Linked DNA regions of Nothobranchius furzeri. The protein of the gene in region 1 purifies or fractionates together with the protein of each later gene. This does not show direct contact. Links are inferred from orthologs where the notes say so. Each region holds a gene or a part of one and is shown on either strand. Other genes may lie near its edges.

Region 1 (4,113 bases):
AACAACCAGCTTCTCAGCCGTTTTCTGTGACCTTGAAAAATTAGGAGAAAAAGACCTTTAATCTCTCCAAAAAACTGTATATGTTGCTTAGCAAATGTGTGTTCGAATAGAAAAGAAGTGTAATCAGGAAAAAGCGGAACTTGTGACACAATCACTGCTTTCTTTGTTGCATTGACAGTAAAATGTTCTAGTTGGAAAAAAAAATGTTGAAAAAAGATCTATTTTTGTACAAAGGTAATTTTAGCCCCGGCTTATGTACTCTGTTCTTTCCCTTCTTTCTGTGGGTTTGTCATGTTCGCTGTGGAAAAGCTTACTCGAGTCTCATGGGGGGGTCAGCTTTGGCACTTTGGTAACTGTCGCCTTTACTTTGCCATTTTCATCCCGTCGCTGCAAGTCGGGAATGTTTCTGCTCATTATAGTTCTTTTTGTTCATTTTCAAGATGAAACGTTTTGCCATCTGTTGTTTGTGGGTTGCTCTAATGTTCTACCATGGACAGAAAAAATGTTATTGAATAAAAGATTAAACTTTGAAGTGATGCTGATTGTGAAGTAAAAACACATGAAACATACAAAACCGGATTTTATTTAGCAGTGGTCAGATGCAAAACAAATATCCACAGGTTCAGCTAGGCAAGATGCTGCTGGATTAGCAAGCGCAGCTGCGAGCTAATCTGTGTGGTGGAATAAAACAAGCTTTATGCCAGTGTGATATATACAGATTTAGTCAGTTTAAACTAAGAAAACACTTTAAAAAAAAGGTTACCATTACTTTAATTCACACAAAACTTTATTTCCCTCATCGAACTATAATTTGCTTAAAAAAACTCAACAATCTGCTGCCAACATCCAATGACATTTGAATTAGATTTCCCGTTTTGGTACCACTTATATAAATAAAAAAGGGTATTTGATGCAAATTTCAGCTTTTCTGTAGTTTTTCCACACAAATGAAGACAACTCATTGGAAGGACCAGTAATCATTACATTTATTGTACAAGAGCTGTTGTGAAGCAGAGGCAAATGCAGTGTGAATTATACTGAAACGTCAGAACCGTCTTTTAAAATAAGTCAGTGTTTCTCTAATGAGACGCAGAGAATCCGGCACCAGAGGGGCGCGTTCGCTGCAGATACGATACGTAGGGCTGAGAGGAGTTTGCCTTTCCCTGCAGAATTTGATCAGCTCTCAGCATCCATTAGAAAAGGGTCCTCATGTTGAACAGCACAATGTAGGAAAAATAATAAAGATGAACAGCCCCAAAACTAAAAAAGGAGGGCGTTTAGCAGTCGCTTTTCCATAGCTTGATGGTTTTGTCGTTTTCTAACGCTGCAGATGCAATGATGTTCTCTGTCGGGTGGCAGGCAGTCGAGATGACGACGTCTGGATGTAGACACAGGAACGTGTTACACACACACACCTCACTTCAGATCTTTTTAAACAAAGCTGCTGTACCTGTGTGCCCCTGGAGTTTCTGCACAATCTCCTTCGTCTGCAGGTTCCAGATATAAACCATGTTGTCCTCCGAGCCAGACACGATCCACTGCAAAAGAGCAGAGGCCCAGCATCAGATCCCAGCTACACTCTGCAGCTCCTTCAGCACTGAGAGGTCATACCTTTCCCCCGGTGACAGAGAAGTTGGCGAATATGCAGTACTTCTCGTTTTTATGGCCCGTGTACGTCTTCAAGCACTGAAATGGTGGAACATTTTTTAAAAGTCAAATTCACACTCTCTGAAATGTCACCATCAATAAATGTATTTTTTATTTATTAGTTCAAAGCAAATGTCTGGTTCAAAAGTAACAGGGTTGGAAACAATCAGCTTATGAAAACTGTAGAAGCAGGCAGGAATCTGGCTCAGCTCTGTTATTGTGATCATTACAAGTAAAAAAGGCATTTCCAAGAGGAAGAAGCTTTACCTTCAGACATTTAAACGCTATTCTTTGTAACAGCTGGTTCTATTGCCAACTTTTGGTTTTAAAAACATTCTAGATGACTCTTTTTTTCCTTTTGGACACATATTTAGATCTGCCAACAGAACCAGTTTCATCACTGACCCACCAAACAAGTTCACACCGTTTTCTCTTCTGGACACCAGTAAAACCAGCTGAAACTGTGTTAACTGGCTAGTTTTTATATTACCTTTTTATATTAGCATCAGAGAGAAATCTTAAAAACTGTAACAACAGAAGAAGTTGCCTTCTCTTTTGCATAGCTATAAAAACTTCTGCCAAAACAAATCCCTGTACATAAAGAGTAACGGATGTCTTTATTTTTGTTTACCTTTCCTTTGCTGTAATCCCACAGCTTCAGCGTGCTGAAAAAGTAGAGAATGTGTTGAATGGTTCCAGTAACAAAACCAAAGTAGAAGAAATGCTTGTTTCTCTGTAGAGAGCGGACATCGTGGCGCTGTGCCGCCCCCTGCAGGGTAAAGCCATGCACTCACTTATCCAGTGTGGCAGCCAGGATGTATTTCCCGTTGGGAGAAAACTTCACAAACGACACTGGAGGGTTGTCATCATCTGACATAAAAGAGCAAACAAGTAGAAACAAACGAGTTTAAACAATAACGTCACAATTTAAAAGATATTTTAAGGGATATTGGTTCAAACTTACCAATGAGAGTTTTTAAACACTGTCCGGATGCAGTGTCCCAGATCCGACTGGACAAAAACAAAACTGTTACTTAATAGGAATAAATAACCATTACCCTGCTGTAGGGTCAAAAAGGCAACTCAGTTAAGTTCTATCGGGCAGCAGAACAGAATACTAATTCCTAGACAGATTGTATTTTGAAAACCCAACTGTAATGGGCTCGACACACGGGAGGCGACAAACGACCGCGAACAGCGAAATTTGTCGCCGTCGCTTTTATTACCTGTCACACGGGAGGCGACCCGCGGCAGCGGCCAGCGGCAAAGCCGTCTACGCATTCTGTTCCGTGGCGAAATCGAAACTTCCGTTGTTTTGTTTGGCTGTGTCAGGTTGGAGGGAATTAAGGTTATTTAAGCGGTTCAGAGTTAAAAAAGCGGTAGATATGATGTTTCACAAGGTGCTGCTAGAGTTATGTGAAATCTTACTTCTGATTTTACTATAAAACATAATAATAATCAACTTCTCCTCCATGTTTGCTCGGAGATGTGCAGAGCATCCTGTCCGCTCATTGGTCAGTGAATGAAACCTCCGTTGATTGGTCCTCGTCCGAGCGACAGCGATGCAAAGTTGAAAATGTTTCAACTTTCTGGGATTGCGTCGCTGGGTCGTCCGTGCACGACACGTGCACGAGCGCAAGATTTCACACGCACGTTTTTCGCGTTTCGCTTAGTAGGAGAGAGACCCGCGATTATCGCTTTGTCACGCATGTCTCATTGAAAATGAATGGAGGAGAGGCGATGTCGCCTCTCGTGTGTCGAGCCCATTAGACGAGCACAGCCAGAGAACCAGAACTAAGATCCTGGTGGAACAGAAGGGACTCACCAGAGGCCGTCGTAGCTGCTGGACACGATCAGGGAACCGTCTCTGTTGAAATGAACCTGCAACATCAAACACGCGTCAGCTGTTCACACAATCCTGTCACATTTAAGAGATAAACTTCAAGTTTAAAAAGAAATAAAACTCACAGCAGAGACAGGATCAGAATGAGCCGGCAATGTCTTCAAACACTTCCCAGTTTTCACATCCCATATCCTGACGCTCTCGTCAAACTACAAACGGGGCAGAGATCAATAAGAACCGTTGTTGGGTTTAAAATCAGAGCTCCACAGTCGGCGGCGTACTCACCGATCCTGACACGATGAGATTGGACTGCGGGTTGAAGTTGCAGCAGAAGACATAGTTGCTGTGACCTTTCAGAGTTTTTAAACACTTTCCCTGAAATCACATAGAAACCGGTTCATGTGGCACATTTCAAATTCAAACACACTAGAGGTTCTTCACTCAAGTTTAATACGTTTGCAGTAGCTCCTAATAGGAATGAATGCCTTGCAAGTCGTAGTGCGGAGGGAAAAAAAGCTCCGGTGCACCTGTTTCAGCACAGAGAAGTTAGAGGAGAAAGTAGCATCAGATGACAGGATTTCAAATTTTACTTCCTGATATTTGGACGTCTCGCCTTAGATTGG
Region 2 (3,652 bases), on another chromosome or scaffold:
TAAAAGGCCACCCTGGAATGCACAGTTTTTTGCTTTGTTGGGGGTCTGGGGACTCAGAACCAGTCAGTATCTGGTGTGGCCACCATTTAGGGATGGGTACCTTTGACATTTGAATAGATTCAGTACTAATTCCCGGTACCTAGGAATCGATACCGGTACTTAACAGTACCAATTTTAGATACTTTTGAGTGTTTAATATTTTAATTCTCTTTTATAATTAAATATATATTTTTCTCAATTTATAACCATATTTGATAAATATCACAATAAATATCATTCAACTGTTTGTATTTTAACATCGTCCTTATAGTTTTATAAGCTGATAATTAAACTGAAGCAAACATCTTTACTGTGAACTAAATTTATTGTGTATCTTCATTCCTTTTGCCGTCCTTTTTCATTTGATTTTTCCTACTGGGAAGTTAGAATTTCCAAGGACAAAGCGAACGCACCATTAGCTGATAACAATGGTGGCAATGGAAGCTAACATATCAAGCTAACGTTATCTTAAACAGATTATTTAGCTGCTGGAGCAGATTTAAACGATGATGCCTCACACTTAGATCGTTGTCACTGGTTTCATCTTCACCCAATCACCCGCCGCATTTAGTAAAGTGAAGCCAAACTTTTGAGCGCGTTCATGTTCTTCTAGCCGGAGATTCGGAATTCCGAGGAGAAAGCGAACACACCATTAGCGGAACGGAAGCTAACATATCAAGGTAACGTTATCTTAAACATTTTATTTACCTACCGGAGCAGATTAAAATGAGGATGTCTCACTTAGATCGTTGTTGATGGTTTCATCATCACCCAGTTATCCATCACATTTAGTGAAGTGGACCCAAGCTTTAGCGTGCATTCTTTCTACCATGCTGCTCTGTTTACAACTCGCTCGCAGCGACCGACGACATAACGCTCTTGCGCAGCTGTCTAGGCAAGTTCTCGTTATGAAGGACGGGTACCGAAACGAGGCACCGTTTCAAATGACGTGAATCGGTGCTCGGTCGGTACTATGGAATTCGGTCGGTACCTTAAAAAGTACCAAATTCAGTACCCATCGCTACCCTCATGCAGTGCAACACATCTTCTTCGCATAGAGTTTATCAGATTGTCAATTGTGGCCTGTGGAATGTTGGTCCACTCCTCTTCAATGGCTGTGCGAAGTTGTTGGATATTAGTGGGAACTGGTACACGTTGTCGTATACGCCAGTCAAGCACATCTCAAACATGCCCAACGGGTGACATGTCCGGTGAGTATGCTGGCCATGCAAGAACTGGGACATTTTCAGCTTGCAAGAATTGTGTACAGATCCTTGCAACATGGGGCCGTGCATTATCTTGCTGAAACATGAGGTGATGTTCATGGATGTACGGCACAGCAATGGGCCTCAGGATCTCATCACGGCAACTCTGTGCATTCAAAATGCCATCAATGAAATGCACCTGTGTTCTTCGTCCATAACAGATGCCTGCCCATACCATAACCCCACCACCACCATGGGCCACTCAATCCACAACACTGATATCAGCAAAGCGCTCACCCATACGATGCCACACACGCTGTCTGCCATCTGCCCTGGACAATGTAAACCGAGATTCATCTGTGAAGAGAACACCTCTCCAACGTGCCATTGAATGTGAGCATTTGCCGACTCAAGTCTGTTACGGCAACGAGCTGGAGTCAGGTCAGGACCCCGATGAGGACGACGAGCATGCAGTTGAGCTTCCCTGAGACGGTTTCTGACAGTTTGTGCAGAAATTGTTTGGTTATGCAAACCAATTGTTTCAGCAGCTGTCTGAGTGGCTGGTCTCAGACGATCTTGGAGGTGAACCTGCTGGATGTGGAGGTCCTGGGCTGGTGTTGTTACACATCGTCTGCGGTTGTGAGGCTGGTTGGATGTACTGCCATATTCTCTGAAACGCCTTTGGAGACGGCTTATGGTGGAGAAATGAACATTCAATGCACGAGCAACAGATCTGGTTGACATTCCTGCTGTCAGCATGCCAATTGCACGCTCCCTCAATGCTTGTGGCATTTTGCTGTGAGACAAAACTGCACATTCCAGGGTGGCCTTTTATTGTGGGCGTATAAGGTACGCCTGTGCACTACTCATGATGTCGAATCAGCATCTTGATGTGGCACGCCTGTGAGGTGGGATGGATTATCTCAGCAAAGCAGAAGTGCTCACTATCACACATTTAAACTGATTTGTGAACAATGTTTGAGAGAAATGGTGATATTGCGTGTCTGGAATAAATTTTAGATCTTTAAGTCCATCTCATGAAAAATGGGAGCAGAAACAAAGGTGTTGCGTTTATATTTTTGTTGAGTGTAAAAGGAACAAAAATATTTAGAACTGTTTCTGAAAAAGAACTGAAACAAAATAAAAGCAGTTAAATATGAACTGGAGTCGGGTCGGTGTGTTTGGTGACACTACAGCAGGTATGGACCTTCTCCAGGGTTAATTAAATATTAGTGTCCAATATTTTAGGGGGCGACTTTTGACCAGGCAGTTTTATGAATAATGAATTAATTATTATTCTAACTTTTTTACATGTAAAATGAAACAGTTTAAATAAATAAGAGGAAAATGAAAAAGGGAGATAAAAGAATAAACAAATAACTAGGGGTAAATACATGGACGATAACTATAATACAAGGACGGCTAATGAAAACATATTAAGGTTGGTTTGGAAGAAATTCAGTGACATTTGCTTTATTACATATAATAAACTAGTAATTGCTAGGGGCGCACCGGTTGTGGTTTCTGACCGATCACCGATGTTGAGAAAAACCGCATTTGCCGATACCAATTTTGTCTCAACTAAAAGCAGATAATGTGAATGTTTCAATTTCCTTTTATTGAGAAAGCCAATATGAACACTCATGAAACAATGTTCTCAAATCTAAATGAACATATGTAGCGTTGCCGTTTGAACTACAAAACCATATTTGTTCCTTTAGACATTCATTTTTCTAATTTTGAAGACAAACCTTTTGTACCTGTTTTGATAGACTTGTACAAAAATATTCTATAGCAATTATTTGCTTTTACATTAACTATAGGGGTGCACCGATTACAGCTTTTAGCCCATCACCAATATGAAGAAAAAAATTATATCGGGGCCGATAGATCAGTGCACCCTTAGTACTTGCACTACTATACCATTGCACTACTGTACCATTTACATATCTGGTTAACTTACTCGTTCAAACCAGCTAAAATAAATGAACAACAACAGAAAGACACAGCTGCTGATGGTGAGACTTACTTTGGAGAAGTATCCGACTATGTGCGCTCCCTGCTTGTTGACCTCTGTGAGGATGTAGAAGATGAACGGCTCCACGTCAAAATAAAGTGTCTTATGGTCCAGAAACAGCTTGGCCAGCAGACAGAGATTCTGACAGTAGATCTGAAAGCAGAACACAAGTATTACAGCTAAGCCTGTGAGACGTCTGGAGGACCCGTGCTGCGTCCACCTGCGCGTGTCCTCACCTTGTGGTCTCGCCCGTCCACCTCAAAGACTGAGATGTTACTTCTCCGGTAGATCTCTTTTCCTGGAGGCTGTCTCCACTGACAGTTAGACTGAGGAGGAAAATGTTTGTTATTGATACTGAAGTAAACTACAGCAAAAGGAAATCAAATACATC

The links. The genes of interacting proteins can lie anywhere in the genome.
Region 2: the proteins of wdr5 (region 1) and kat8 purify together in Homo sapiens (affinity purification with mass spectrometry; 5 studies listed by BioGRID and IntAct, with this or other methods). This does not show direct contact. The link is inferred for Nothobranchius furzeri from reciprocal best matches to the Homo sapiens genes WDR5 and KAT8.

The regions. Positions count from the first base shown.
Region 1 is NC_091746.1:41,699,661-41,703,773, reverse strand, and holds the end of wdr5 (WD repeat-containing protein 5), read right to left. Parts: intron 3,866-4,113; coding exon 3,776-3,865; intron 3,700-3,775; coding exon 3,616-3,699; intron 3,529-3,615; coding exon 3,473-3,528; intron 2,659-3,472; coding exon 2,612-2,658; intron 2,518-2,611; coding exon 2,442-2,517; intron 2,313-2,441; coding exon 2,279-2,312; intron 1,687-2,278; coding exon 1,612-1,686; intron 1,539-1,611; coding exon 1,451-1,538; intron 1,379-1,450; coding exon 1,278-1,378; 3' UTR 568-1,277; downstream 1-567.
Region 2 is NC_091745.1:17,466,438-17,470,089, forward strand, and holds part of kat8 (histone acetyltransferase KAT8), read right to left. Parts: intron 3,588-3,652; coding exon 3,498-3,587; intron 3,415-3,497; coding exon 3,274-3,414; intron 1-3,273.